Linked DNA regions of Xenopus tropicalis. The protein of the gene in region 2 purifies or fractionates together with the protein of the main gene of each other region. This does not show direct contact. Links are inferred from orthologs where the notes say so. Each region holds a gene or a part of one and is shown on either strand. Other genes may lie near its edges.

Region 1 (7,713 bases), about 120 Mb from region 2:
GCCCTAATGCCTGTCCGGTTATGCCCTCGCATAAGGTAGAACCATATAGGCACTTGCATTTATCGCTTATTTATGAAGATGAAAGTAAAAGTGTGCATTTTTTTCTCCACTTCCCTATAGTTACAAGAGGCAATAGGTTTTTGGACAGACCCCAATTTGCACCCTCTGACAGATAATTAAGATGGGTATTTACAGACCCCTCAAAGTTAACAGCATTCAGAATTCCCAAAATTTGCTTCCTCCTTCAAAGCCATTTACTGCAGTATATGAAAAGTGGGGCAGTGCCCAAATAGTGTAAAATCGTTTTATTTCAAGTTATAGAAAAGGCACTCGATAAAAACATTCAAGTCCACTATAAGGCTTTCCCACCCAATCAGATTATTCTCCTCCATCCTATGCATTCACTAATCCTACTCATTTCAGCAATAGGTCCTAGTGGGAGCCATGTTTCTTCATGCCAATGTTATTAATAGGGGGAAAAGAAAATTTTAAAAAGTCTGGTATTTTTTTCCACAAAAAGTGACAACTGTAGCGCACCCACAATGGATTAGGGCAGTGACCCCCAACCAGTGGCTCGGGGGCAACATGCTGCTAACCAACCCCTTGGATGTTGCTCTCAGTGGCCTCAAAGTAGCTTCCATATTTACATTTCTGACTTGGAGACAAGTTTTGGAAGCCCAGAGACCAAGTTTTACCCCAAGCAGGTCCTCCTGCAGCCCAGCAGTCTACATGGGGCTACCAAATAGCCAATAACAGCCCTTATTAGGCATCCCCAAAGAACTTTTTACATGCTTGTATGGCTCTCCAACACTTATTACATCTTAGGGGCAGATTCATAAAGTCCGAATTACAAGTAAAATTTGCGAAAATTTGCATTAAATAAGAAAATTTCTGATGTACGTTAATTTTGCGTAAAGTCGCGTCGTGCTTGTACAAAAATATCGAGGTGCGATCCGAAAGTTATGAAATTTTCATAACCAAACAATCGTAAACGGAAAAACGGAAAACCTTTCTGACTTTGAACCTTCAGTGCATAATTTTGGCACTCTGCAGCTCCAACCCGGCCCAAGGAAAGCCTCCCATAGGGCTCAATGGCACTCTGCAGCTCCAACCCGGCCCAAGGAAAGCCTCCCATAGGGCTCAATGGCACTCTGCAGCTCCAACCCGGCCCAAGGAAAGTCTCCCATAGGGCTCAATGGCACTCTGCAGCTCCAACCCGGCCCAAGGAAAGTCTCCCATAGGGCTCAATGGCACTCTGCAGCTCCAACCCGGCCCAAGGAAAGTCTCCCATAGGGCTCAATGGCACTCTGCAGCTCCAACCCGGCCCAAGGAAAGTCTCCCATAGGGCTCAATGGCACTCTGCAGCTCCAACCCGGCCCAAGGAAAGCCTCCCATAGGGCTCAATGGCACTCTGCAGCTCCAACCTGGCCCAAGGAAAGTCTCCCATAGGGCTCAATGGCACTCTGCAGCTCCAACCCGGCCCAAGGAAAGTCTCCCATAGTGCTCAATGGCACTCTGCAGCTCCAACCCGGCCCAAGGAAAGTCTCCCATAGGGCTCAATGGCACTCTGCAGCTCCAACCCGGCCCAAGGAAAGTCACCCATAGGGCTCAATGGCACTCTGCAGCTCCAACCCGGCCCAAGGAAAGTCTCCCATAGGGCTCAATGGCACTCTGCAGCTCCAACCCGGCCCAAGGAAAGTCTCCCATAGGGCTCAATGACACTCTGCAGCTCCAACCCGGCCCAAGGAAAGTCTCCCATAGGGCTCAATGGCACTCTGCAGCTCCAACCCGGCCCAAGGAAAGTCTCCCATAGGGCTCAATGGCACTCTGCAGCTCCAACCCGGCCCAAGGAAAGTCTCCCATAGGGCTCAATGGCGCTCTGCAGCTCCAACCCGGCCCAAGGAAAGTCTCCCATAGGGCTCAATGGCACTCTGCAGCTCCAACCCGGCCCAAGGAAAGTCTCCCATAGGGCTCAATGGCACTCTGCAGCTCCAACCCGGCCCAAGGAATGTCTCCCATAGGACTCAATGGCACTCTGCAGCTCCAACCCGGCCCAAGGAAAGTCTCCCATAGGGCTCAATGGCACTCTGCAGCTCCAACCCGGCCCAAGGAAAGTCTCCCATAGGGCTCAATGGCACTCTGCAGCTCCAACCCGGACCCAAGGAAAGTCTCCCATAGGGCTCAATGGCACTCTGCAGCTCCAACCTGGCCCAAGGAAAGTCTCCCATAGGGCTCAATGGCACTCTGCAGCTCCAACCCGGCCCAAGGAAAGTCTCCCATAGGGCTCAATGGCACTCTGCAGCTCCAACCTGGCCCAAGGAAAGTCTCCCATAGGGCTCAATGGCACTCTGCAGCTCCAACCAAGCCCAAGGAAAGTCACGATACCAAAGCTTGAATGATTCCGAAACTTTCGTACTCGTTGCGACAATACGATTTTGTAGCGCAAAAAGTAGCGGAAATTATAAAATACAATTTTTTTCTATTCGTAACCAATCGTCCATTGATAAATGGGCCCCTTCGTGTAGCTCAGAAATGTTGGGGATCCCTGGTATAGGGGATCCAGTGGGACACTGAGCCATAAGCAGCTGAAGCCCAGGGAGCCAGTCAGACGCTAGTCAGGTCACTGCCCCCAGAGACACTTTGAAGCCGAGCTGCTCACAGTCTATATATTGACAGAACCGGACAGCGCTGCTATTTTCAGCCACAGGAGGAAGACCCAAAAGGCCGAGGTCCTGTAAGTCATTGCCTTCCACCCATCAGGCCCCGGGCTAATGGATAACTACACTAGTACCAGATAGGGGACATCACACCTGGAACGTTCCATTCAACACGTACCGCCCGTCAGTCACACACAGGCCATGGCAGCACGCCGCCTCCCAGCCAGACTACGTGCGCGCCCCCGCCCCCAGCCGAGTCACGTGTTCCCATCTCTTGTTTTGATTTTGTGTCTCAGGCGCGGGAGTGCGCAAGGTGGGTGTGCGTGGTGCGGCCGCGACGTCATATGGGCAGGCCGCCGCTGATTGGCTGGGGCGGCTCACCAGACACGCATGTTGTTGTTGGGGTCGGGACAGCTGTTGGCATATCCTGCTCTTATGTGAGTCACCGGGGGTAAAGGGGGAGGAGCCGAGGTTTGGCCGTGTGGGCGGGGAGATGCTGCCACAACAGTATCACTACCTGAGCCATTCCAACTCATCTCGTCAGATTCAAGGAGCTACGGGAGGCGGCAGGGGAGGAAATCCTAATACCGGGGTTAAAAGGTGGAAACTTTATCCGCTCTCATAGATCCTGCGTTCCGCTTGGGAGTGAGCACAGCTTGGATACCGGGAGAGCACAGCATTGTGGGTAAGGAGAGCTGAGGGGCAATGCAGTGAATATGATGCCATAGGGACTGGCACTGTAATGGGGTCGCTAGGGACTGCTGGCACTATGGTGCCACTGGGATGGTGGGTACTGTGTATCTGATGCCAACCCAGCAGGGACTAAGGGATATGTCATGCCAGGTATCTTGGCACTGTTGGGGGCAATGGGGTGCCATTCCTGCCAGCTGTGTATCTGCTGCCATTTGGTTCTGCTGTGGGCAATGGGTAATGCTGCTGTGGGCAATGGGTAATGCTGCTGTGGGCAATGGGTAATGCTGCTGTGGGCAATGGGTAATGGTGCTGTGGGCAATGGGTAATGCTGCTGTGGGCAATGGGTAATGGTGCTGGGGGCAATGGGTAATGGTGCTGGGGGCAATGGGTAATGGTGCTGGGGGCAATGGGTAATGGTGCTGGGGGCAATGGGTAATGCTGCTGTGGGCAATGGGTAATGGTGCTGTGGGCAATGGGTAATGCTGCTGTGGGCAATGGGTAATGCTGCTGTGGGCAATGGGTAATGCTGCTGTGGGCAATGGGTAATGGTGCTGTGGGCAATGGGTAATGCTGCTGTGGGCAATGGGTAATGGTGCTGGGGGCAATGGGTAATGGTGCTGGGGGCAATGGGTAATGGTGCTGGGGGCAATGGGTAATGCTGCTGTGGGCAATGGGTAATGCTGCTGTGGGCAATGGGTAATGCTGCTGTGGGCAATGGGTAATGCTGCTGTGGGCAATGGGTAATGCCGCTGTGGGCAATGGGTAATGGTGCTGTGGGCAATGGGTAATGGTGCTGGGGGCAATGGGTAATGGTGCTGTGGGCAATGGGTAATACCGCTGGGGGCAATGGGTAATGCTGCTGTAAACCTGGTGCCATTGCCCTGAGCATAGTTGGCTGCTGTGTATCCGGTTACTGCTGCATTTATTGTGATGTGCAGGTTACTGGATCATTGCTGTATATCATATGCTAGTGCACTGCATTAAGGGTGAAGACACACTGGGCTACTAATTGCAGCTACTTTTTCAAGGCTACTAAACTCCAGAAAATACACTGCAATAGACAGTACTGAGAACTGCCTCTGCTAAAACACTGGTAGAGACAATTATCAGTAAATGTCTTTTTTAGTAGCCAGGACAAGTAGCTGCTACTAGTAGCTCTGTGTGTCTTCACCCTTATGGTCCAATGCCACAGGCCTAGGCACTGCTTCTCCAAACGTGAGCTTAGCTCTTTAAATGCAGGTTTGAGGTCATGAAGAATACTAGGGCATTAAAGATGGTGCTGTACTGACAATGGGCCACCTAAAATGTTGCCATATTGCTAGACATTAGCCCACTAAAGTATGTACCGTAGCACTGGTCCACTAATGTTGGTGCCCTGCTGCTAGTCACTGGCCTGGTTGGTGATTTATTGCTGGGCATTGGCCCATACTGCAGGCACTATTGGTAACTCATTGTGTTGTTGTTTAGAGAGAGTCAGTCTGAGATAATCATTCTGCATTTATATTTCCCAATGCTTTTGCCACTACTCTGACTATATATGCATTTAGATGAAATATGGACATTTTTGCCATTAAAGTTAGCTTTGCAGTTGCCATTGCATGCTGTGCAGCTTTACAGTTCAGCTCTGTGCTGGAGAATGTGACGTGGGACTGCCAGCTGATGTTTATGGAAAAGTAAGGGAAGCAGAGTGGTCCAAAAAAATGTGCAGATGTTGGCTTACTGGCACACAGAAAGTACATTGCATTTTGTCCAGTTCTTGTAGTCTGTAACAGCCAATCAGGTGTCTCCTTTCATCTCCGACCCTCCTGGTGGCAATGGAGGACGGGGCCTTGTCAAATTGTGTCTGTGGTAATACTTGTTTTTATTTTATGGAAAAGTTTGCATTTTGAATACAGTGGTGCTCTGAGAGCAATCAACCCTTGGTTATCATTCATTTGTAAGGGAAATACACCACTTATGGCAGATAGTTTAACTGTCAGCTGTGTTACCAAACTATGCCCACGGGTTGCTGTATTTCCCTTTTAAATGAATGTCAGACAAAGGCAATTTGTGCTATTCTGTAGGTCTCTTTGGTGATGACCTCTATGCTCATTGGTAGGAACTGAATGCCATGCAGAGCAGGAAATCCTTTTCAACTAATATATTCTGCTTTTGCTTTCATTTCTGCAGTTCCATACAGCCGTAAACAAATGCAAACACTAGAGGAGCACTGCTGGAGTTGCTCTTGCACCCGAGGAAGAGACAAGAAGGGTACAAGGCTCAGCACCTGGCTAGCCCAAAGAGCTGCAAAAGCCATGTCCTCCTTAAACTCTCTCCTCAGCCTTGCCTACCACACCCTGGCCAGCAGCGAAGGTCGGAGCCTTATCCGGAGAAGCCTCGTACTCTTTGCCGTTGGTGTGTTCCTTGCTTTGGTCCTAAATTTACTTCAGATCCAAAGGAATGTGACTCTGTTTCCAGAGGAAGTCATTGCTACCATATTTTCCTCTGCTTGGTGGGTCCCTCCATGTTGTGGAACTGCAGCTGGTGAGTATTCATTTGTCCATATTGGTTTATGGAGCTTTGCCTTTGACTAAGGTTCAGTAGCACCGGCATAGGCCATAGCCTTTTAGGCAACTCTTGCCTGCTTTTTAGCTATAGCTGCCTCTCTATTAAAGGGGTGGGTCACCTTTAAGTAAACTTTTAGTATGTCATAGCATGGCTAATTCTAACCAACTTTTCAATTGGTCTTCAATTTTTCTTATAGTTTTTGAATTCTGCCTCTTTCCAGCTTCCAAATGGGGGTCACTGACCCCGGCATCCAAAAACTATTGCGCTGTGAGGCTACAGTTTTATTGTTATGGTTACTTTTTATTACCTACCTTTCTATTCAGGCCCTGTCCTGTTCATATTCCAGTGTCTCATTCACATCAATTGCTGGTTGCTAGAGTCATTTGGACTCTAGCAACTAGATAGGAGCTGGAGAGCTGCTACATAAAGAGCTAAATAATTCAAAAACCATAAAAAATGAAGATTGTCTTGGAATATTACTCTCTACATCGTGCTAAGAGTTAATGTAAAGGTGTACAACCCCTTTAAAGCAAGAGGATTCTATATAGAGGATTTTTGTTCCCAGCAGTTCAGGAGAGAAGAGTGGCATTTAATACTTAACCTCAGTCTGCAAGCCCTCTTGTACCACGTATTGTGTCAAGTCCACAAGCTCCCATGATGCCATACTCTCCCTGTGTGGTAGGGCCCCATATATTAAACTCTTATTACATACAGAGAGTGCAGTTTGTGGGCATGGCACTGCATGTTGTGTGCAGGAGGGCTGATTACATACTTAATGCTCTGGCACAGATTACAGACAGCGCAAAGCAGGGAAGACCAGTAGGGTTCCTAAAGGGGGGGGGGGGGGGGGCGCTTATACTGGTGACACCAGGAAGCAGAAGGAGTCCCTGTAAAGTACAGCGTAGAGCTTGCATTAGGAAGACTGTCAGCAAGGTTTATACTCATTTACTTATGTCAAGGTAAGGGTGTAACTAGAGGAAGGAGACCCTCTGACTGTTGGTGGGCCCTGAAGGTATATGGGGACCAATGGAGGATAATCAATATAGGATAGCCCTAAAATGATTGTGGGGTATGCCAGTAACTCCTACTTACACCAGCGCTCAAGCCATGGTTAAAGTCTAGAGAAGAGAGTGGTTTCTTAAATGACTAAAGAGTTGACTGTAGATCTCTAAGGGTGAAGACACACTGGGCTACTAGTAGCAGCTACTTTTCAGGGCTACTAGTAGCAGCTACTTTTCAAGGCTACTAAACGCCACAAAATACCCTGCCATAGACAATACTGAGAATTGCCTCTGCTAAAACACATGTAGAGACAGTTATCAGTAAATGATCAGCATTGTATTTTTTAGTAGCCACGACAAGTAGCTGCTATTAGTAGCTCCGTGTGTCTTCACCCTAAAAACTCATTTTGCTTCTAAGCGTGGTTCTGTTGTCCATTCTAAACGGCCCAGTGGCCCTAACTATATATGTATTCTATCATGTCCATTCTCTCTTTACTTATCCAGTAAATGACATTGTAAATGCACAGCTGTGCACAGAGCATCTCTCCAATTCCTTGTTAACTACAATACCGGGGGATGCTTTAGCTGGGCCGCTGCTGCAATGGTATTCCTGCCCTTTTGCTTTGTCCTAACTATGAAAGGCAATAAAGAAAGTAACAATGAATGACTGTCAGGAGGGAGTATGTGCCGACACAATTGGCCTCAGAATGCCTCGCTTATTGCAACAAGGTTAAATAAATTGACTGACTGCCAAAAAATTCCTTACCCCCCCCCCGTCCCCCTTTTAAAGCTCTTTGCCAGAAACCCTATATCTG
Region 2 (7,662 bases):
AAGGGAAAAAGCGCAACATACTCAGATTTCTGACTCATGAACATCTCACTGGGAAGAGGGCTGGCCTTAAAGAAGATTTCTATGAAATGGGTGTTAGTGAGGCGGGACTGTGGTGCAGCACACCCCTATCTAGGCACCAACACCTACTGGAAGGAACACACCCCGGCAGCCAGGAGTCCATGGTGGCAATAGCACGCTAGGAATGCACTGAATGTGCGTTAGTCACACTATTGTGTGTGCGACTTCTAGGAATGTGCTGCAGGAAGGCATGGGCAAACTGGGGCAAACTAGATGCAGATGAACTTTGCCTCTCACCGCGTTGCACCTGTAGGGCCCCGGGTTAATTGGGTTTAAATATACATTTCCAGGCAACTCCAGGAAGGTTCCTGATGCTCTCGGCTATACACCCATAAGCAAATGTCTCATCTAAAGGGACACAGTGTATAAAAATAAGAATATGCCACTGCATTATGCACTTTTAAATATAAAAGGAATGTGATTTAAAAAGTTGCTTTAGCTGATTTGTTGTGTAAATAAAAAAAAACAAAAAAAACCCCTAGTCCCGCCCATCTGTTCCACTTCCTGCAGCTGGGCTGACCCAATAGGGAACTGACACCTATCTTTGCTTGTGTGATTGCAGGGCTGTGATTGGCTCTCTCCTACAGTGCTTCTGGCAGGGTCCGTTAGTACAAGCCCACCTCTCATTTGAAACATGGACAGGAACCATAGCAGATCTATAGGGAGCTCCTATTAAGGGGCTATTTTTATGAATAATAGTCATTTTTAGTCCAAAGTGAAACCAACATTATATATTGTTCCATTATTGCCTATGAGATGGGGGGTGGGTGATATCCTTGGGGACTTTTATATGAATTAGGGTTGTGCAGCCCGTGTCTCCCAGCTTCTGAATTTATAGGCGCACCCCTGTCACTCCCCGCCCCTTTTGTGATCTCATTATGGGGCGGGGCATGTATGGGACATGCCTCTTATACTGTGAGTGACAGTAGCACACAGAGCTGTGTCACAGCGACCCCCCTAGACTGCCACGTGCAATGAAACATGTCGCTTCCCCTGACAAGCGCAAACACGAGAGCCCCTCAAATCATTCCCAATTAAGCCAATGGGGGAGCAGTTGCTTCAGGCGTATGGCAGTTAGTTTTTTGGGCTGATCAATAAAAAAAACCATTACTCTTAAATGTCAATTTACAGAATATTTTTTGTAACTTTGCCCGACTGCCAAAGCAAACTCCCCCGCCCAGACTGGCGAAGCTCCCGCTAGCAGAACCCCGGGTCTGGCAGCTGCCTGTGGGCTGGGCACACAAAGCCGAATATGTTCGGTTGTTATGCACTTATACAGGTTTAATCACAATACCAGCCGGTCAGGCTCTTACAGCCAGTTTCACCAATACTTTCCAATCAGGGCGACAGAGTTCCAGCCCCAGTCTGACCCAACTCCAGCTCATCCCATGTCTATTGGCCACACAGGCTGCTTTACCCCAAATGCCTCTCTGCCCTTAACCGAGAGCTTGAATATTAACCAGCCATGAATACACCAAGCACTAACCATATAATTACAAGGTTAATTAATACAAACATCACATATAAAGGAACAGATGCCAATACCAAGTTTAGTGGGGTGTCAGTTCCATTTAAAGAAGCCGCAGCAATCCCAGCACTGTCACTGCACAAGCCCAGGGGAATAATAACTGCACATAGGGCAGGTCTAGCAGGGACAGGGATAATAGGGATAAATGGCTGGTATGGATTGCACAAAGCAGCCTGGCAGCCCTCCAGCTGTGACTAGTCAGTCCTGGTGTTATACAGCGCTCCCTCCCCAATGGTACTGGGGCCAGACAAGAGGTCAGTTAGTTGGAGATTTGGGGGAGAATGTCTCACTGTACTTACAGAAGCCCAAAATGGAGGTTAATTAAAGTGATATTTAAAGGAACAGTAACTCCAAAAATTGAAAGAGCTTTAAAGTAATACAAATATAATGCACTGTTGCCCTGCACTGGTAAAACTGGTGTGTTTGCTACAGTAACACTACTATAATTTATATAATAAGCTGCTGTGTAGCCATGGGGGCAGCCATTCAAGCTGGAAAAAAGGAGAAAAGGCACAGGTTACATAGCAGATAACAGATAAGTTCTGTAGAATACAATAATGTTTTATCTGTTATCTGCTATGTGCCTGTGCCTTTTCTCCTTTGAATGGCTGCCTCCATGGCTACACAGCAGCTTATTTATATAAATTATAGTAGACTTTCTGAAGTAAACACACAACTTTTACAAGTGCAGGGCAGCAGCACATTATATTTTAGTTACTTTTATACACTTTCATTTTTTGGTGTTACTGTTCCTTTAAGGCCACCTATTCTAGTTATCCTTGCAGCTGTTGATAAATAGCTGATAGTGTTGAAATTTATTTTATCTGTAACTACTAAAGGTCCCCATACATTGGCACCTACGGGTGGGCGATATCGGGAGAATCCAGGATAATTCGATCGTTGGCCCTGGGGCCAAATGATCGAATTATAATGACGGGCATAGGTAAAGATGGCCCGGGGACCGCATCAACGAGCCCATTCGGTCCCCGATCCGACTAGATTTTCTAACCTGCCCGATCGAGATCTGCACGATTTCAGGCCAGATATCGGTCAGGCAGCCCCGTCGGTAGTGCCCATACACGGGCCGATTAGCTGCCGAATCGGTCCAAGGGACCCATATCGGCAGCTAGAATCGGCCCGTGTATGGTGACCTTTAAGAAGGCCCCTAAAAACAAATGTTGTACATCAATGGGGGGATTAATCTAAGGGCTGTGGCACAGGGGAGATTAGTCGCCTGCAACAAATCTCCCCAGAATGCCATCCCACTGGCTAGACTGTAAATCACAGGTGGGATGGCTTACGCGTCGCCGCGATTTGCCAAAGTTGCCTCAATCGCCGCATATGCCATCCCACCGGTGATTTACAGTCTAGCCAGAGGGATGGCATTTCAGGGAGATTAATCTCGCCGTCTGCCACAGCCCTAAAGAGTCAGACAGCTGATTAAGGACTCAGCCAAAGCTAAGGGTGAAGACACACAGAGCTACTTAGTAGCAGCTACTTGTTATGGCTACCAAGCACCAGAAAATCCCACAGATTACTAGATACGGAGAATTGCCTCTGCTAAAACACACGTAGAGACAGTTATCAGTAAATGATCAGCATTGTCTGTTTTAGTAGCTGCTACTAGTAGCTCCGTGTGTCTTCACCCTAAGGAGAGAGTGTAGTGAAACAGGGAGAAACCAATACAGGGCTGGGGGGGGGCAGACTGTAGCAGACGGGGGTGCAGAACTAGCAAAGCTTTAGAATCTGTATAAAAAGCAGATATTTATTGCACAGTGTAACTACATGGTAGGGTAACAATGTATATCAAGCCGCACAAACTAAAGCTCTTCTGTCATTGAACTACAACTCCCACTTACAGCCTGTGGGGTGCAGGGAGATTGTAGCTGATCAATGGCGGCTCGGCCGATGTATAAAGGGCAGCCCATCAGACTCGGATATATAACCTCTCAGAATAACAATCAGGAGGCTAATGGGAACATGTAGAACACACAGGCCCCTATGTATAGCCGGCAGGGGGAAGGTACCGTATGGCACTGGCCGGCACACAGGGAACAAGGCAGTAGCCAGACAGGCTAGTAGTCACAAGGCTAACCCTACTGTGCAGGCCCGGAGTCCTTACCCAGCAGTCTGAGCGCCAGCTGCAGCAGCAGTGACAGGAAGCCGGCAGAGGCATCGTGGGGCAAGTTCAGGATGGCGTCCGTGATAAAGAGAGAGGGAACCCGCAAGGCCACATCCAGCACGGCCCGTACCCGCTGCCCGACCACCACCGGAGGGGACTCCATGGGCTCCGCCGCCCCCTCGGGCTATTTCCCTCCGGAATCCAATTGCCCCCTCATCTCCTTCCGCGGCCGACTCTCACACAACAGGAGGGCGGCTGCGTCACGGCACCATTGCTGCATCCGGTGACGTCCAACTCAGGGCGGAAGCGAGTCCTTGGAGGGAATGCGCCTGCGCAAAACTTTCAATTCTGCTTCCGCTGACCTGTCTATCGTCGCCACAGTGAATTATACATTTACAGCAGGGTTGGCGGGTTTTCCGGCAAATTGGGCTACTAATTTAAAGCCCTGGTGGGTTTCCAAAGTAAAAACCCGCCAAGGTAAAGTTTTGGGCTATTTTTTGGAGCCTTGGCAGATTTGTAGTTTGGAAATTAGCCAAAGATTTTTTCTTCTAGTGTGTCTGTTCCACTGCATGCTGGGTAATGTAGTTTGTTTCCAACTATTAGCCTACAGGTAAGATTAATATAAAACTACAATACCCAGCATGCAATTGGACAGTATAGACAGAGGCTCCTTTTTGCTCAACCTGTCTGTTCTGCTCCCTGCTCTATAGGGTATGTGATTGTACTGTTACTTTCTACTGGGATGTGGGGCAGTTCTACCCCCTGCTCCCTGCTCTATAGGGTATGTGATTGTATTGTTACTTTCTACTGGGATGTGGGGCAGTTCTACCCCCTGCTCCCTGCTCTATAGGGTATGTGATTGTACTGTTACTTTCTACTGGGATGTGGGGCAGTTCTACCCCCTGCTCCCTGCTCTATAGGGTATGTGATTGTACTGTTACTTTCTACTGGGATGTGGGGGCAGTTCTACCCCCTGCTCCCTGCTCTATAGGGTATGTGATTGTACTGTTACTTTCTACTGGGATGTGGGGCAGTTCTACCCCCTGCTCCCTGCTCTATAGGGTATGTGATTGTACTGTTACTTTCTACTGGGATGTGGGGCAGTTCTACCCCTGCTCCCTGCTCTATAGGGTATGTGATTGTACTGTTACTTTCTACTGGGATGTGGGGCAGTTCTACCCCCTGCTCCCTGCTCTATAGGGTATGTGATTGTACTGTTACTTTCTACTGGGATGTGGGGCAGTTCTACCCCCTGCTCCTGCTCTATAGGGTATGTGATTGTACCATTACTTTCTACTGGGATGTGGGCAGTTCTACCCCCTGCTCTATAGGGTATGTGATTGTATTGTTACTTTCTACTGGGATGTGGGGCAGTTCTACCCCCTGCTCCCTGCTCTATAGGGTATGTGATTGTACTGTTACTTTCTACTGGGATGTGGGGCAGTTCTACCCCCTGCTCTATAGGGTATGTGATTGTACTGTTACTTTCTACTGGGATGTGGGGCAGTTCTACCCCCTGCTCTATAGGGTATGTGATTGTACTGTTACTTTCTACTGGGATGTGGGGCAGTCCTACCCCCTGCTCCCTGCTCTATAGGGTATGTGATTGTACTGTTACTTTCTACTGGGATGTGGGGCAGTTCTACCCCCTGCTCCCTGCTCTATAGGGTATGTGATTGTACCATTACTTTCTACTGGGATGTGGGGCAGTTCTACCCCCTGCTCTATAGGGTATGTGATTGTATTGTTACTTTCTACTGGGATGTGGGGCAGTTCTACCCCCCTGCTCTATAGGGTATGTGATTGTACTGTTACTTTCTACTGGGATGTGGGGCAGTTCTACCCCCTGCTCCCTGCTCTATAGGGTATGTGACTGTACTGTTACTTTCTACTGGGATGTGGGGGCAGTTCTACCCCCTGCTCTATAGGGTATGTGATTGTACTGTTACTTTCTACTGGGATGTGGGGCAGTTCTACCCCCTGCTCCCTGCTCTATAGGGTATGTGATTGTACTGTTACTTTCTACTGGGATGTGGGGGCAGTTCTACCCCCTGCTCTATAGGGTATGTGATTGTACTGTTACTTTCTACTGGGATGTGGGGCAGTTCTACCCCCTGCTCCCTGCTCTATAGGGTATGTGATTGTACTGTTACTTTCTACTGGGATGTGGGGGCAGTTCTGCAGTTGATCCTTAAGCTATATCTCTCAGGATATCTTGGGGCTGCTGAGAGTTGTAGTTCAACACACCCATATGTATATCATGTCTGGGGTAAATGCAACATTCTGAATCCATTTCTGTAGTGACTTCCCAGCTGGACTGGGCACAGAGGGAATTATCAGCCATCCCAGTAACTGGAGAGGGGGCACAGGGGATGGATAATGATTATACACTTTAAAAGGCAGGTTTTCCCATATATACTTTTATTTTTTTTAGATTTTTTTTCATTGCACATATTGGACTATTTTTGGGCTACTTTCAAAATGGCTTTTGGCTAGTTTTAGGCTGGTTTTAGAACTGACTTTGGCTAGTTTGGCAAAATAAATCTGGCAACTCTGAGTAGGACAGTGAATTATACATTTACAGGAAAGCGCTGATCATTGCCTGTGAATCTTTAACTCTGCCCTGGGCCTCAGCAGGGATTGGCCGACCAGCCAGTGAAACACCAAGGCTGGGGGAAGCATAGCATACGTGCTGCCATTTCCCTTACAAGTGTATTACATTAGTATATTTATTAGTGAAGAAACTATTTTCACGCTAGGAAATTTGATGCACTATGTTATGTAAATATGGAAGCTTTCCCCAATACAAAACCTATAGGACTAAATCAATCATTTTACCCAGTTAGGTCATGAACCAAACACACACTTAAAGGGGAACTAATATAAACATTAACTATAAGCTTCATCATACTGAAATAAAAAATGTAATATGTTCAATTAAAAATTTTGAACTGTTTCTGAATTAATCAAGTTTCTCTTCCCCTCTCAGCATTTGTCTCCTTTCATTCTCTCTCCATGCAGGAGGTGGGAGTATGATTTCGAGTGACAGGTCTAAAACAGCCTTTGGTGGGGTGCTGCTTTTGCCTGGGTGTATTAGAGCGAACGCTTAAAATCAGCAGAAATCCTGTCTCTATATGCAGGATGTGTGCTACAGTCAGTTATTTTGTTAGATTTTGTTTGTACAGGAATCAGGCATTGGAGTGAGCACTAATACAATACCTACCCACAGTCCTGCATTACATGGACCAGTCCTGATTTGGGCTGCCCATCCACTGGTGTAACTATAGGGGCAGCAGACCCCACTGGGGGAGGGCAGGGGGGCCTGGACTGAAGTATCTGCTTCCTCTATAGATTGGAAGTAAATGAAAAAATTAGTTAAAAAAATCCCCCCTCCCAAGCCGCACTCTGCGGAAGGGGAGCAGGGACACGGGCTAAATAGTTGTTGCACTGAGCGGCTGTGCATCAGGCCCTCTGACTTGTTACACTGCTGTGCCCAGTCTGTTGGCCCACATAGTTGTAGAGATGTCCTGGGGCTGCCATTCCCTTACAGTGTGAGCAGCCCCCTGATCCTCTTTCAAGGGAACCTACTCTTGTCCATTATATCTGCAGTTTTATACCACCATTTTATCCCACTCATTGTTGCCATTATGCCCAACTTGCACCCAAAAGACACAACTCGAAGAGAATATGAGCAACATAAAGCAGTTTGTGCAATGCAGGTTATAAAAGGACATCTACTGAGACTGGAGGAAAGGAGATTTTACCATCATCATAACATGTTTTATACTGTAAGGACAGCCAGATTATGGAATTCCTTACTGAATGTAGTGATATTATGTATATTATGATTACAGTAGATCAGTGGTAGCAATCTTGGAAGCAATCTGACGGCTATTTTTAAATGATTTAATACTTAGCTACAACAGAAGCACAC

Evidence for each region. The genes of interacting proteins can lie anywhere in the genome.
Region 1: the proteins of rnf139 (region 2) and insig1 purify together in Homo sapiens (affinity purification with western blotting, with the first as the bait; 3 studies listed by BioGRID). This does not show direct contact. The link is inferred for Xenopus tropicalis from reciprocal best matches to the Homo sapiens genes RNF139 and INSIG1.

What each region holds. Positions count from the first base shown.
Region 1 is NC_030682.2:16,632,649-16,640,361, forward strand, and holds the start of insig1 (insulin-induced gene 1 protein), read left to right. Parts: upstream 1-3,259; 5' UTR 3,260-3,342; intron 3,343-5,516; exon of another isoform or gene 5,517-5,519; 5' UTR 5,520-5,539; coding exon 5,540-5,873; intron 5,874-7,713. UniProt on the Homo sapiens protein: Oxysterol-binding protein that mediates feedback control of cholesterol synthesis by controlling both endoplasmic reticulum to Golgi transport of SCAP and degradation of HMGCR.
Region 2 is NC_030682.2:140,382,877-140,390,538, forward strand, and holds the start of rnf139 (E3 ubiquitin-protein ligase RNF139), read right to left. Parts: upstream 3,957-7,662; 5' UTR 3,892-3,956; coding exon 3,729-3,891; intron 1-3,728. UniProt on the Homo sapiens protein: E3-ubiquitin ligase; acts as a negative regulator of cell proliferation through mechanisms involving G2/M arrest and cell death.